Caenorhabditis elegans: one gene and its partner. The protein of the gene in region 1 interacts with the protein of each later gene in a pairwise test. Each region holds a gene or a part of one and is shown on either strand. Other genes may lie near its edges.

Region 1 (6,964 bases):
AATTGATTGGAGTGGAAGAAGAAATGTAAAAGTGTTCTGTCTTCAACTAACTTTGTACAAATCTGATTCAAAAGCAAAACGAACATCTTTTCAGCTTCTGAAGTCTTTTTATTTTCAGATTTAGATACTCTCCAGTAGATATCTGCTCGTTGAAACCATTCACATAGCCGAAATAGAGGATTTAAGATTGGCTTGTGAACCAGAAGACAGTGATTTTGAGAATGCGAATCTGAAACTATCATTTCGAATATTCGAATGATAGCCAGTTGGCATATCGATTTCAAAGAATCAGTCAGTTGAATCGACCAATCCAGCACTCGTTCTAGAATTTGTTCAGTAAAGAATTTATCCAGAATCGGTCCGATAATTGGTTCAGGTTGTGAGTTGGCTTCTAACATGAGTAATGTACACATATTTGTCATATTCTCCAAAAGTGACATTAGCTCATCATAAACAACTTTGTGCTCTGGATCACTGAGCTTCCGTTCGAGAATGTTGCTAACAACGCTCCATTTTGTTTCAAATAGTTGTTCCCATACTGTCGGATCTGAAGCGTACGCTGAAGACCATCGAGCTCGGGAGACAGATGTAGCTGAAAAATTCAGGTCCATTATCAAGTTATAAAAAGTTCAACTTACGAGTACCCGAATAAAGTTCATCTCTAACCCAATCACTTGATGATTCCTGTGGTTTCAATGGTGATGTGATCTTTTCCAACCATCTTTTCATTATCTGGGATCCTAAAGTAAAGGGTTAAGAAATAATATTTCAGCACAAAATCAAATAAAAAATGGTGTGAAACCCAATAATTATCAAAATTCATAAACTAATTTTAAGCATAAAACTTTATAGGCAAGACAACAACAATAGTTTGAAAAAATCAACAAAAAGTGGGTAAAAGTGTGAAAATATCAAATAACAAAAAAATTTATTTAATTCTAACCGAATTTAGATTTTAGTCGCATTTTTAAGAATCGTCACATACGCTGGATGGTAGTATTTTGATGTAGAGTTTCTGACCATAACTACAGTTTTTGCTGAAAAATATTAATTATTCAATTTCAAGTTAAAAAAAACTTACATTTGTGATAATTCGAAGCAATAAGAGAGAGGGTATTCGCACAAATGTATCCAATACCAACACCGTGTCCAGCAAGTACACTTTGTTCTCCGGCAACCAGTCGACCAATTATCTCACTGCAATTATTACAATACGAGAATAGTAACGGAACATAAATTCATACCGATTGGCAGAAAATCTGTACTTTGTCGCCAGTTTTTGTACTTCTTCAACTTCAGCTTCTTCTTTCCGTTTTTCTTGCTCAATCTTTCTTCGTTTTTTCGACTCTCGCTTTTTTCGATTCACTCGTTTTCGTTTGGTGGTTCTGTAAAATATTGGTATTTGAACCATGTGTTTCTACAAAATTTTGCAAAAGTTGACTTTTAAACACTGGTATTTTGGCAAAATCTATCCTATTAATCGTATGATTTGAATTTAACTTTTTTATATTCAGAATTTTTAAAAACAGGTTTTACTCTGATAATGTTTATGAAAACATTGAAACGTTTTTATACTCGATAAATCTTGGTTTTTTTTAAACTCACTTATCATCCAATTTCGTAGTCTCCTCAAAAAGTAATTTCAAATTAATTGGTTTTTCAGACGCAGCTGCTTCAAGAGACATAAATCCTTGATTCTTTTTAACTGTAATTTCTTCAATTTCCATAGCTTCAACGATATCTGAATCTTGAGAAGAAGCTTCTGGAGGTGTTTGAATAATCTCTCGGTTTCGATTCTTTCGAATTGAAATCAAATCATCATCCGTTGGCAGACACACCATTCCATACTTTTTCGGTCTTCCTCTTCCAAAAAACTGAAGTTTCACTGGAATTAGCATACCAGGTTCTTGAAATTCTTCGAGTCCCGATCCTTTCTTCATAGCTTCTTCGATAATCCGTAATTTTTGAAGATCTCGGCATACAAAAGCTTCACTTCTAGGTTTATTGGATAAGTTCCAGTCCTGAGAAAGCTCATCCCATTTAAATTCAAATGGATACTTCACTGATACAGCACTCCAATGCTTGCATCTTCTATTATGAGGCTTTCCAAGATACTTTTCAATTAGTTCTTTTTTCATCGCCAATTCAGATTCTCGTCCAGCTTCTGAGCCAACATCGTCTAGAGGATAATAAAGAGCTTTAGATTCCAAATGTGCTGCATACTCATCACGAAGTCCACTTGCACGGACACCTCGTCGTTGAAGTGATACCCAGAAGTCTTTTGCTGAAAAAAAATAAATCTTCAAAATTGTTAGTTTTTCTCAAAACTATACCAAAAGGTTCTGGAATCAGAATATCTGCACCGTCTAGTGCTTTTAATCCTTCATTTCGAATGATCAGAATGATTGGAACCTTCGCTTCAGTTGAAATGACTCCGTTGATTTTTGAAGAATTCTGCTTGTGGAATTCAGAATCTGCCATTCTAAATTTGAATAATTGAATTACTGAAATTCCACTTTTTTTAAAATCATACCTTTTCTCGATCGCCATTTCTCTAAATTCTTTATTCCAAAATTTGCTTACTCGAATCCTCTCATTATCAGCTTCTTTGTTCACTTTTTTGTGTTTCAGAACTGTTTTCCTATCCCAAGTTGTTCTCGGGTCTTCGATGAGCAAGTTGATAACTTCTCCATCTCGACTTGATTGAAAAACGGAATCCGATACAGATAAGAAATAATTGTGTTCTGAACTGAACTTTTCGTCATTAACAAATCGAATCGAGTCGCGAAGTTTCGAAAGACACTTTGGACCGGATAAATGAAATCGGCAAATGTTTTCTGCATCGATTGAAACTTTAATTTCAGAATTTTTATAAAGATCTTCTTCTGTATTCTCTTGTTTCTCAAGATTATAGTACTCAAGAAGTGCTTTCATGAATTGCAGTTTGCTTGATGGATGAATCCATATATGAACTTTGTCACCAGAGAGTCGTTGGAATCTTGCAGGTCCAATATATCCAAATGGGTATTTTCCTGGCATGTAGAGTTGGTGACATTCCTGGAAAGATAATGCGTTAATCATGAAAATAGATTTATGCGCAACAGAAAACGATAAAGAAGTGCTAACAGCTGATAGAAAATGACGAGGAACCGGTTCATCTCTCCCTCTCAATGATTACCTCTTCTTCATCGCGTGATGACTGCCCTCGACATCCTTTTTGTGAGAACTGGGAGATTTTTGAATAAGCATCGGTGCATTGAATCTGAAAATTTAGATTTTGAATAGTAAGCATTTTAGATTTTGAATAGTAAGCATACTAAAAGTGGAAAAATAAAATCCGAATTCGGACTATTTCAAACAAAGATGTCATCTGATTTTATGGAAAATGGAAGTATCGGAAACATTTCAATTTTTACCAAATTTTGTTTACTGTTGATAAAAAATGAAAAAAAGTCTTAAAAAAGAAAAGAAAAATGAGGAAAATTTAAAGCTATATTTCGAAAAATCGAAATTTTTATTGGAAATATAGGGAAAACGAAAATGTTAGATTTTTTTCTAAATTTTATGTTAAATGTTAAGAGGAAAAAAATCTAGACGTCTAAATACTTAATGTTTTCTTTGGTTTCAATACTTACAGTAACACATGTATAATATGATCTATCTCGAATCACACAATTCTTGTTAGAATCTCTTAAAACTGCTCGAAATCCACGTTGAAAGCTGCGATCCGCGAGTTTGAAACCCCATTTTTGAATCATTCGAAATCTTTTCGCATGCCAAACATGTGTCGAGAGCCAGATACCTTTTGTACTGGTGCTTCTGCCAAATTTCTGGAAAAAAACGAGCAATTTAGTATTTAGTTAATTTGGGTTCTTACTGTTCGAGAATTTGCACTTTTTCGTCTCGCAAACCGACTTGGACACTTTTTAGCATGTTTTGAAATTAAATGTGCTGCTGCAAACTCTCTCATTGTTCTTGGAAATCGACGAATATCGTATGCCATCGCTCTTCTTCTCATGTGACGTGGCAATCTTTGAGCAGCAGTTCTTGGACCTTTTGTGACTTCACCAGACACAAGGGCGTCATTGTCAATAGCCTGAAAATTAAATTTGGAAGAATTGAAGATTATAGTTGTAAAAATTACCTTTAGTAGCTGTGCAATGGAATTTGTTCGAGCTTCCACGAACTTTTCGACTTCTATAAACATAGGTTTCTCAACCACCGGACGTGAGATGTCCATCTTGAATTTGAATTTACTTGTAGTTATAAAATTATAAAAAATAATTTGGAAAAATATACAAGGATCAAGTCAACCTTGAAGTATAAAGTTTTAAAAATAAAATTTAAAGAAACATTTCATTTTTGAATGTAAATATCGACAAACAATAAACAACAACGAACTAACTATTCCCAAAAAGTAAAAACAGATCAAACGTCTAAATTCAGAACATTCAAAAACTACACATTTGCCTCTTTTTCCTGTTCTAATCTTCTGATCTGTAGGGCTCTTCTCTCTTCAAATAGCATTGATTCTTCTTCTAATGGTTTATCCACAACTTCTTCCACTAAAACCTTCTTCAAATCAATCTCATCGGCGAATGTGTCGTTGAATATTTTGCGTCCTGTGACTGGATCGACAATGTTTCCGAATTTAAACACTACACGGTCAACAGCATGAGAGACGTTGGCCTTTGGGCGGGAAGAACCATCGATCTGCTTGATGAGCACTGTATCTCCGATGTTTCCAAGTGATGTTCTAAAATGTTTTCAATTTTGAAATGTAATTCTCACATTGATAAATTCAGTTCAGAGAAAATGCAGTAATTCTAAAACAGGTATTTTAAACAACTTATTTTTAAACTCACTTGTCGAGAGCCCAGAAGTCGAACGATCGGGCGAAATATTTCTTCAGATAGATGTTGAATTCGTTCATCTGACATCTTACCTAAAATAATACAATACACTTCGAAAAGTCTTCAAGAATTGAACCAACTTGAGCACATGGAATTCTATCAATTCCAATTTGAGTGATGTCGGTGATTTTACCCATCAAAATTTGCGTTCCAACGCGCGTTTTCCACACAGAGGTCTTCGGCATCTGAAACACAATAAATAATAGAAGAATTAAATCAAAATAATTATTTTTAAATACAAACTGAACCGAAAAAACTGAAAATTAAGAATAAAATTTAATTAAAATTGTTGCCAAGTGTGTGTGCATTCTGACGTGATGGTGTTTGCACAGTTTCGTGCAAGCATACAAGTGTGCTCTACTGAACAGCTAGAAATAATTGTTTGGAATAAATTCATGGAATTTCCAAACATTCTCGTAGCTTCTCATTATCGATTTTTATGGTCCTTCAGGCATAAAAAGGGTGTAATTAGAATTCCAGGTGGTCATATGCCTCTTATTCCGCTCTTATTATGCCGTCTTCCCTTTCCAATTTCCTAAATTTTGAATTTAATTCTGTTAAATTTTTCAGAAAATGGCCGCTAATATTCAACAGCAGTTTGGGGAGCAGCTTTTACGAGCAGCTCAAGTTGTCGAGGAACAGATCGACCAGGAGATGAATAAGTAATTTTGAAATGTAGAAACTGTTTGTCATGTGTGTTTTTAGACTTGAGAACCTAGAAGAAGACGATCTTGAGGTAATTCGTCGTCAACGGATGGAACAAATGAAGAAAGCTCAAAAAGACAGAATTGAGATGTTGTCTCATGGGCACGGAAAATACGAGGAAGTTGCTGACGAGAAGGAGTTCTTCGAAGCTACAAAGAAAAGCGATAAAGTTGTCTGTCTTTTCTACTTACCTGGAAACTTCCGATGCAAAATTGTGGATAAGCATTTCGAGATCTTGGCTAGAAAGCATGTTGGAACACGATTCATACATGTCAACGCCGAGAAGGTTCATTTCCTGACAACTCGTCTCAATATTCGTGTCATTCCAAGCATCGCTATCGTCGTGGTAAGTTTGAATGTGGTTCCTGCTATAGTATTTTTTTTTCTGAAGTTGTATAATTCAAATCTGACTAGTTTCATAGAGTTTTGTTGGCATCTGTACCAGATTATTTAGTTAAAAAAAAATAAATTTAGAAGCAACAAACCGTCGATTACATTCGTGGATTTGATGAATTGGGAGGAAAAGATGAGTTTACCACCGAGACCATGGAAAACCGATTGGCTCGATCTGAAGTATTGACTGTCGAGAAGAAGCATACAGCTCCTGCAAAAAAGAAAATCATTAGATCAGGAGTTGAGGAGTACGATAACGAAGAGGATTGGTAGATGCCATCTTAAGATGATTTTTTCTTGTTTTCATATTCTCATTTGCTGATAATTATGTGCATTTTGATCTCACATAATTTCCCATTTTTTCGCTTTCCTCCTCCCGTGTTTGCTGTTTTATCTACCTTTTTCACAATTTCGTAATCGCAAATAAAGAGCATATTATCCTTTGAAAAATGAAAAATAGCCGTTCGGTTAATATCCAGAATTATTTTTAATGTAAAATAAGTATTTTAGATATTAAGATAATGTATTTCCAGAAATGGGGGAGTCTCATGCTCCATCAAAACCAAAACTAGATGGAGAGTTGTGTCTTCGTCCGAGTAGTTCAGTGTTTTTGGGAGATCAACAGCTGTAGTAAGTTTAAATTTTTCGGCATTACACGGGCTTCCCAAACTTCGAAACTTTTCGAACACTTCGGTTTCAGTTTCACACAAGAGTATCTACGAACAAACTCGTTAAATCTCAAATATGTCGTTTACTTTACGGCTTGCCAATTCTCAGGTCCAATCGGTAATTTTTTCTTACTATTAAATTTTAAATACAAAACGTATCAAATTTTCAGCTGTCGCATATTCTCCTCGTCCAGCTTCCTGGTACATTTGGATCAGAACCATCAGTGGAAGAATTTTGAAGCGAGACATGGCATTCAATGAACCAGTTTTTATGGAATGGACTCG
Region 2 (6,614 bases), on another chromosome or scaffold:
TTGGATCGAGACAAATGGGGAAAACGAAAAGGATTAAGACATCCTGGCTCTAGCTTCCTAAAAGTGCATGTTATTTTCAGTTACCTGGTGCGTGTGGAACGATGAGACTAAATCTCTCAACCTAGGGAAGTCGGTTCGATAAACATAGTTAGGGATGAGTAACGGTTTGGACGCCTTTTAACGTATAAATTGAATATGTGCTTAAATGATCGAATTTTGTAATTAAATTTTTTTTTAATCTACAAAATTTTATATGACGGTTCAAAATTTCGAAAAAAATTATCCAACTTTTTTTTTACTTTTCCGTGCCGCAGTGATTCAAAGTAGATTTGTTTTAATTATTGTCATTTTTTTTGCAAATTTTGGTAATTTACCTTATGTTGTTTTGTTGATTAAGGTATTTTTGGAAATTTTGAACCGCCATAAAAAACTTTTGAAACAATTTTGAGTCGTTTCATTAAAAAATTCGTTTATTTAAGCACATTTTGGGTCTATATGTTCAAAATCGTCCAAACCGGTACTTCTCCATTAAATTTTTATAGCCTTTAATATCAATTTTTTAAAGCAATGTTCAGAAAAAAACTGTTACTAATCTATGCACACTTTTTTACAATTTTCATATTAAAATATTTCAAATATATTATTCAGATTTCCAAGGCTTACATAATTTTTTTTATTCATTTTAGTTTGCTTTGAAAGCCAGAATACATTTCATTGTTTGAAATATTATTTCCAAGGTATAAATTTCCTCAGAAAAATTATAGTTTCTAAATTTTCACAGTTCTGCAGTTTTTCATAATACATATTTATTTTTTTAGCAAAGAATTATAAATACAAGTACTTAAATTACGCAAAAAAATTATTTTGGAAAATATAAGCAATAAAGAAGAAAACAAGTCTTTTACAAGTTACATTATGAAAACTATACATGTCGTAATATAAAGTCATGCGATTTTTCAGAAATTACCAGTAAATTATTCAACAACCAGATTGCTAGAAACTAAGAAAAAAGAACCCCCTGAAGAAGTCGGATTCAACTTTTTAGGCGGCTCTAGAAACTCATCCATAAAATGAGTGTCACTAATGGATATGGGAGTAATGTTTGATGATTTCTTTGGAGGTGGCTCTTTCTTTTCCACTTTATGTACTTTGTCATCTGGCGGTGTCTCTGGTTTCAAATCAGAAGTTGAGTGTGCATCCTCTTCACTGAAACTTTTAGTCTTGATTTTGAGTTTAAATTATTACAGTAAGATACTTAGAAATCAGGCTTTGAGTGTCCGAAGGAGTATGTATTGCTGGTGTTTCAAGTCTATTATTCTCTCTTTCATCTGCAAAAAATACATTGGGTTCTTTTTCTTTTATGACCTTTCACCCACCAATTTTCTCCAGATTTCGGTTTCGCTTCCTTAATTGGTTTTCAAATTCTCCAGGCCAAACGACTTTCGGTTTTTTTGTTGGCTCGGCGTCTACCACATCTAAAATTGAAATATATAAGTTGTAGGGCAAGAGGGTTTGTACTTTGTGACTGGAAAAATTGAACTACATTTTTTTTAAAATCAGCATTCAGTTTCATTAGGTTTATCTTACATAGATAAAGAGCAATTTTAAGCTTCAAATGATTTTTTTCGTGTTTTCTGGCTAAAACCATTGGTTCTCTTTGATTTTTCCATAATATTTGATTAGAAACATTTTTTGTCAATTTTTAAACATTTTTCCGTGAAAGTAAATTGCGGAAAGTTCAAAATTTATCTAAAATCGGCAAGTTAGTCTGAAAACATGTCAAAAATGACGTCGCTGACTTTTACGGGACTACAAATTCACTGTTTCTTTGATTTTCGTAAAATTGAAAAAAAAATCATAAAAAAGATTGACAATCTTTTAAAAGTGATATCTGACATACTAAGATTGTCATTTAGAGCAGAAAAAATTGACTCTAAGCAACATTTCAAAAAAGGATAAAAAGCTATTTTAAACCAAATTTCACGAATTGCCCCCTATTGCGAAATCGCTCGTAAATCTAGAACAAAAATTTTAATTTAGTTCTTGCAATATCTTTTTTGTAAAACAAAATCAATAAATTCTGAAAGTATAATTTAATTTTAAATCTTGAAATTTTTTTCTGAATCTATTAACTACAAAACTTAAAAAAAGGAATTGACAAAAATTTCGTCAGTTGACAAATTTACTAGTAAAGGAAAACTGGCAATTGAGATGTATGTTGTGAAAGTTGGCCCACGGTGTGCAATACTAATAGAGAAAACACGGCATTTCGTAACAATATAAAACATCCAAAATACGTGGAAAAACTAACCATGATCCAAGTATCGCTTTCTAGTCTCGTCATACTTTTCTCGATTTTTTTGTCGCTTCCGTTCTCCCTGTACCCAAACATATCGTTGAAAATCGCCAGCAAGCATTAAAAAAAAGTTTCAAAATCTTCGGGAATAGTTTCAAAAAGTGGTAGACACGTGCGTTTCTAAGGGGATTTTTTGTTTTGGATGACTTGCTAATTTTTTGGCAGGGGGCCACGTTAGCAAACATACATTGGTTGTTGAAAAAAACGGAATTTGTTACCAGATAAATAATAGTTTTGTAGAGAATTGAATACGTCAATTAGTGAAAGTAAGTAGTTAATTTTCCACAAAACCGCAAAGAAGAATTCGTTTATTCTGTAGCTTTTATCACAAAATATAGATTTATTACAGAATTTAAAAATCTTCTTCATCCTCTTCCTCTTTTTTGTCAAATCCTTGCGGGCAACTTGTGCTTTTGGCAAGCATCTGAAATTCAACAGATAATTATCATAGTTTTTAAGTATATAAATACCTCGTTTATATAGTTGGAATCATTTTTATTACTACATAGCTGAAGCATGCAGATTGCTTGATCACGTAGTTGAGGCAGAAGGAAGAAATCTGCTTCCTGTGTCAGCATTGCCAACCTGTCTGGGTCTTTTGGTAGACAGGCTTCCCAAAGCTGTCCAGCTTTCCGGAGACGAAAATAGTTGAGCACGACGCCGAATCTGAAAGAAAGTATTTAAAGATTTATTTTTTTTTTTCAACTACAATATATTATAATTTCCATCGTCCAAATTTCCAAATTACCAAATTACAATCATGAGAATAATTTTAATAAATACCTTTGTGATTCACTTACGAAAATGGGTCTCTATCGACAAAGTACGCGCCATCTCGGTCGCTTGTGAATGGGGACGCCTTTGTTCTTGACACAAACCATTTGTGGAAAATTGAGTCAACTGGGAAAGTCGTCTTCAAGGTTGCCATTGGAGTTCCTCCAACATTGAAGCGAATTATCAGTGTTTCGGACATTCTGAACGAAATTGTGTACATAAAAAATTTGGAATAATAAATTCGTAAAAGATTTAGTTCAAAGAAACAAAAGAAACATGTTAAAGTTTCTGTTCTTGGAAAAGATGTACGAAGAAAGACAATTCTCATGAAATGTTAAGCACAAAATGTCATTGGACATCTCTCAAAGGGCACCACCACTTATTCGAATTGAGCACAAAACAGAGTGGGGGCCCCTCTGCCACCCCACATTTGAGATTCATAAGCCGGTGAGAGAGAAACGAGAACGGGCGAATACATATTTGAGAGAGAAAGAAAAGGTGGTGTGAGCCAGCAGCGTACATGCAAATACGTATGAGCTCTGCGTATTACTTGCTCAAATGTGAAACGTTAATGTCAGCAATGATAAAATAATTGAAAGCTATTTTCAAACAATCACTATTCAAAAAGTTAAAGTTTAGATTTTTTTAAATTTTAAATTTTTGAACAGGTGTATTTTTTTGACGAATGTATAATAAGTGAAGAACCTTTAATATAGATTTAATTTTAAAATATGTATAATAGTTCAAATTAGTCATCATAGAACACTTGAAACAGTTTTAGATTTTTTAACATTTCCAGTCAAAGTTTTGATGACTTGCCAAATTTTCTGCGTTGTTTTAGCCGACGGCCGACTACCAAAACATATGATAAATGAAAACTAATTTCACCAACTGTTTAATTACAAAACTGAACATTTCAAAAGTTTTCCCAACAGTTTAACTGCGATATTTGGACATTTTTGAATTATAGGAGCATTTAAAACTATATTAGCATTTTAGCAATATAGGAGCACCTTTAATTATTATCTACAACACTATAAAAGCAATAATTTTTTTTTCAGTATTTCAAGTAATAGAACCTGAACACATATTATATTTCAAAAAACGGATAAAAAATTGGATGAATCCATTTTTATCTATCAAATGCTCATTTGATAAGCTTTAGATACACTCCATATTTCGCAATACTAGCACGTTTTGCACATGCACACTAGAAGAGCAGGTGGTCAAATAGCTCGGTGTATTTTCTCATTTATTATGTATTAATTTTTGGAAACAATTTTCAGGAAACAATACTGGCACAATAAGAACATTTTCACATGCAATCGTTCCCAAACAGAGACCACCGCAAAAAGAAGAGTAAAAAAAAAGGATTTGACGTATCACGGGAAATGAACTAAACTGAACTCAACTACCGCGCCATTTATTTGCTGTCAGACAATGGGAAACGAGAGGAAATGACCCAGAGGTCTTCTTTTTCAATATAAAAAATAACATGGGAAATGGAACTGCCATGTTTAGCTTGATGCTCCACCAATCTTTTGCTCGAATCAGAAAGGCTGTCTCTTTTGGGCATTGAAATTTGATACAAGAGAAATAGAAGAAAGAGTGGAAGAAACACATGTGAAGTCTAAATTCTGTGAATAAGTGCAAAATGGCTGAAGCGCGAGAATGAAATATGGTTGAAAAGAAGGAAGAATGAAAGGCCTGACTGAAGAGGCGCGCATTTCATGCCCAAATTACACCTGACCAGTTTTGTCGATTCTCTGCCCCGCTACTTTTTTTCCATGTTACTATTTTACTGCAGACATGCTATTTTAAAATCATTATTCTTTCACGATTATTAGACTAATATCGAACTTGGATTCGGCAGTTAAAACTACTGTTACTTGCATGAATTTTATAAATTGGGATATTTTTTGTAACGTGTTCTTTGAACGAGGTATGTATTACGATTTCTAGCATATGCTGAAAAATTAAAAGTTAGATAAGTTGTTTACTAAACCATGAAATCTTAGGTAGTTTTTTTTGCAAGGCAATCAAAAGCATTTTTGCTGAAGACCATTTCAAATTTACGAATTAAAAAGTTTAAGGCATTTGTTGAATTGGTGTAGCCTACCTGAAATTGACTGATATTTCAGCAAATTTTGAACTTCACCTTTCAGGTATTCGGTATTTATAAATTTTTAGAGGCATTTATGTGTTTTTAATTTTACAGAATCTATGAAAATATTGTTTTTGGAAATCAAATTTCTGGCAATCGACGATTTTGGCAATTGTTGTGGGCCTGCTTCAAAGTTACAAATTTTTTACTGCAAAACATATTTAATATATTATTTTTGCGAGATTTCAAAAACTGTAGCATCAAAATTGAAAGTAACACTGCGCGCAAAGTTTTTCTCAATTTGGTAAGTCACAAATTCAGGTTAAAAAAAAGAAACACAATTTTTCCTTGTTGAATCTCCACTGTTCGTTTATAATTTTTCGGCATGCAGAATTGAAAAAAAAATTCCGCACGTGTCTCTAAAGTCAACTGTGGTGCTGCGGTGTTTAATTCACTCATAACAAAGGTAGGGACTCCCTCGAAGAACTGTATGGCTTCATCGAATTTGTCACTAACTTTCTGTTCTTTGAAAAAATAGCTCAATAGATTCGTAAACCACCAGCGTGATTTTTTTAATATCTATAACGTTTGGAAAATACTTCAAAAAATTTTTAAAGGTTCTTCAAACTTTGCAAATATTAGTTATCGAAAATGGCGTTTCAAACTACACTAGAGAAAACTTTCACTTTATAAAAGTTAGATTTAACATACGAATTATTAGTTGTAAAACTCTTTTTTTTATCCACCTCATTTCTAATAATTTCAATTTGTTATACATTGAAATTAAGGATGAAGAATTTATTGAACAAGTCTTGAAAACCAAAAGTTCTTTATAAAATTAATATTTGGCATATTTAAAATTTTCCAAATATTTACAACATAGACCATTAACTACATAAACACAGGGAAACCAGTTCAGTAATACTATCCATCATGATAAATAATTTTTAGATCGTTAAAACATGAGATTTAAAAACGAGAAGGATAATATACAGGGAATGAGAACAAAGCTTTTTCAGGTTGAAAAAAAAACCGGTAGAAATCAGTCCATAAGAACACATTGTCTAATGAAATTTACAGCAGAACGGATTCCTGAAATTAGAAAATTAATTTTTTGGGAGGTGTAATGGTTCTGGTTTTTTGAACGTAAAGACCCAACAAGTGCTCAACTAAACAGATCTCATAATTAAATTTCCCAAAAAATTCTCATAATGGAATTGATATTTCCGGCAAATCGGCAAATCCGCATCTTGCCGGAATTGAAAATTTCCGACAAATCGGCAAACCGGCAAAATGTTGATTTGCCGAAAACGGCAATTGCTGAAAAATTTTGGCAAATTGTGGTTTTTCGCTTTTTCTAAAGATATTTCAGAATTCCAA

What was found.
Region 2: the proteins of mrps-17 (region 1) and F49H12.3 interact in a two-hybrid assay, tested with the Caenorhabditis elegans proteins (one large-scale study listed by BioGRID).

What each region holds. Positions count from the first base shown.
Region 1 is NC_003281.10:6,426,695-6,433,658, forward strand, and holds mrps-17 (Small ribosomal subunit protein uS17m), read right to left. Parts: upstream 5,105-6,964; 5' UTR 5,099-5,104; coding exon 4,994-5,098; intron 4,946-4,993; coding exon 4,866-4,945; intron 4,757-4,865; coding exon 4,459-4,756; 3' UTR 4,348-4,458; downstream 1-4,347. Other genes in the region: fhip-1 (FHIP family protein C05D11.8), read right to left, coding at 1-592, 639-729; Ribonucleases P/MRP protein subunit popl-1, read right to left, coding at 949-1,037, 1,082-1,197, 1,245-1,385, 1,606-2,284, 2,334-2,482, 2,534-3,057, 3,179-3,262, 3,636-3,830 and 2 more; txdc-9 (Thioredoxin domain-containing protein 9), read left to right, coding at 5,487-5,575, 5,619-5,964, 6,093-6,284; vps-16 (Vacuolar protein sorting-associated protein 16 homolog), read left to right, coding at 6,547-6,641, 6,712-6,797, 6,850-6,964.
Region 2 is NC_003284.9:2,081,091-2,087,704, reverse strand, and holds F49H12.3 (Potassium channel tetramerization-type BTB domain-containing protein), read right to left. Parts: upstream 3,331-6,614; 5' UTR 3,330-3,330; coding exon 3,157-3,329; intron 3,023-3,156; coding exon 2,827-3,022; intron 2,781-2,826; coding exon 2,709-2,780; 3' UTR 2,648-2,708; downstream 1-2,647. Other genes in the region: F49H12.2 (uncharacterized protein), read right to left, coding at 975-1,206, 1,256-1,328, 1,377-1,475, 2,312-2,417; F49H12.4 (uncharacterized protein), read right to left, coding at 6,309-6,326.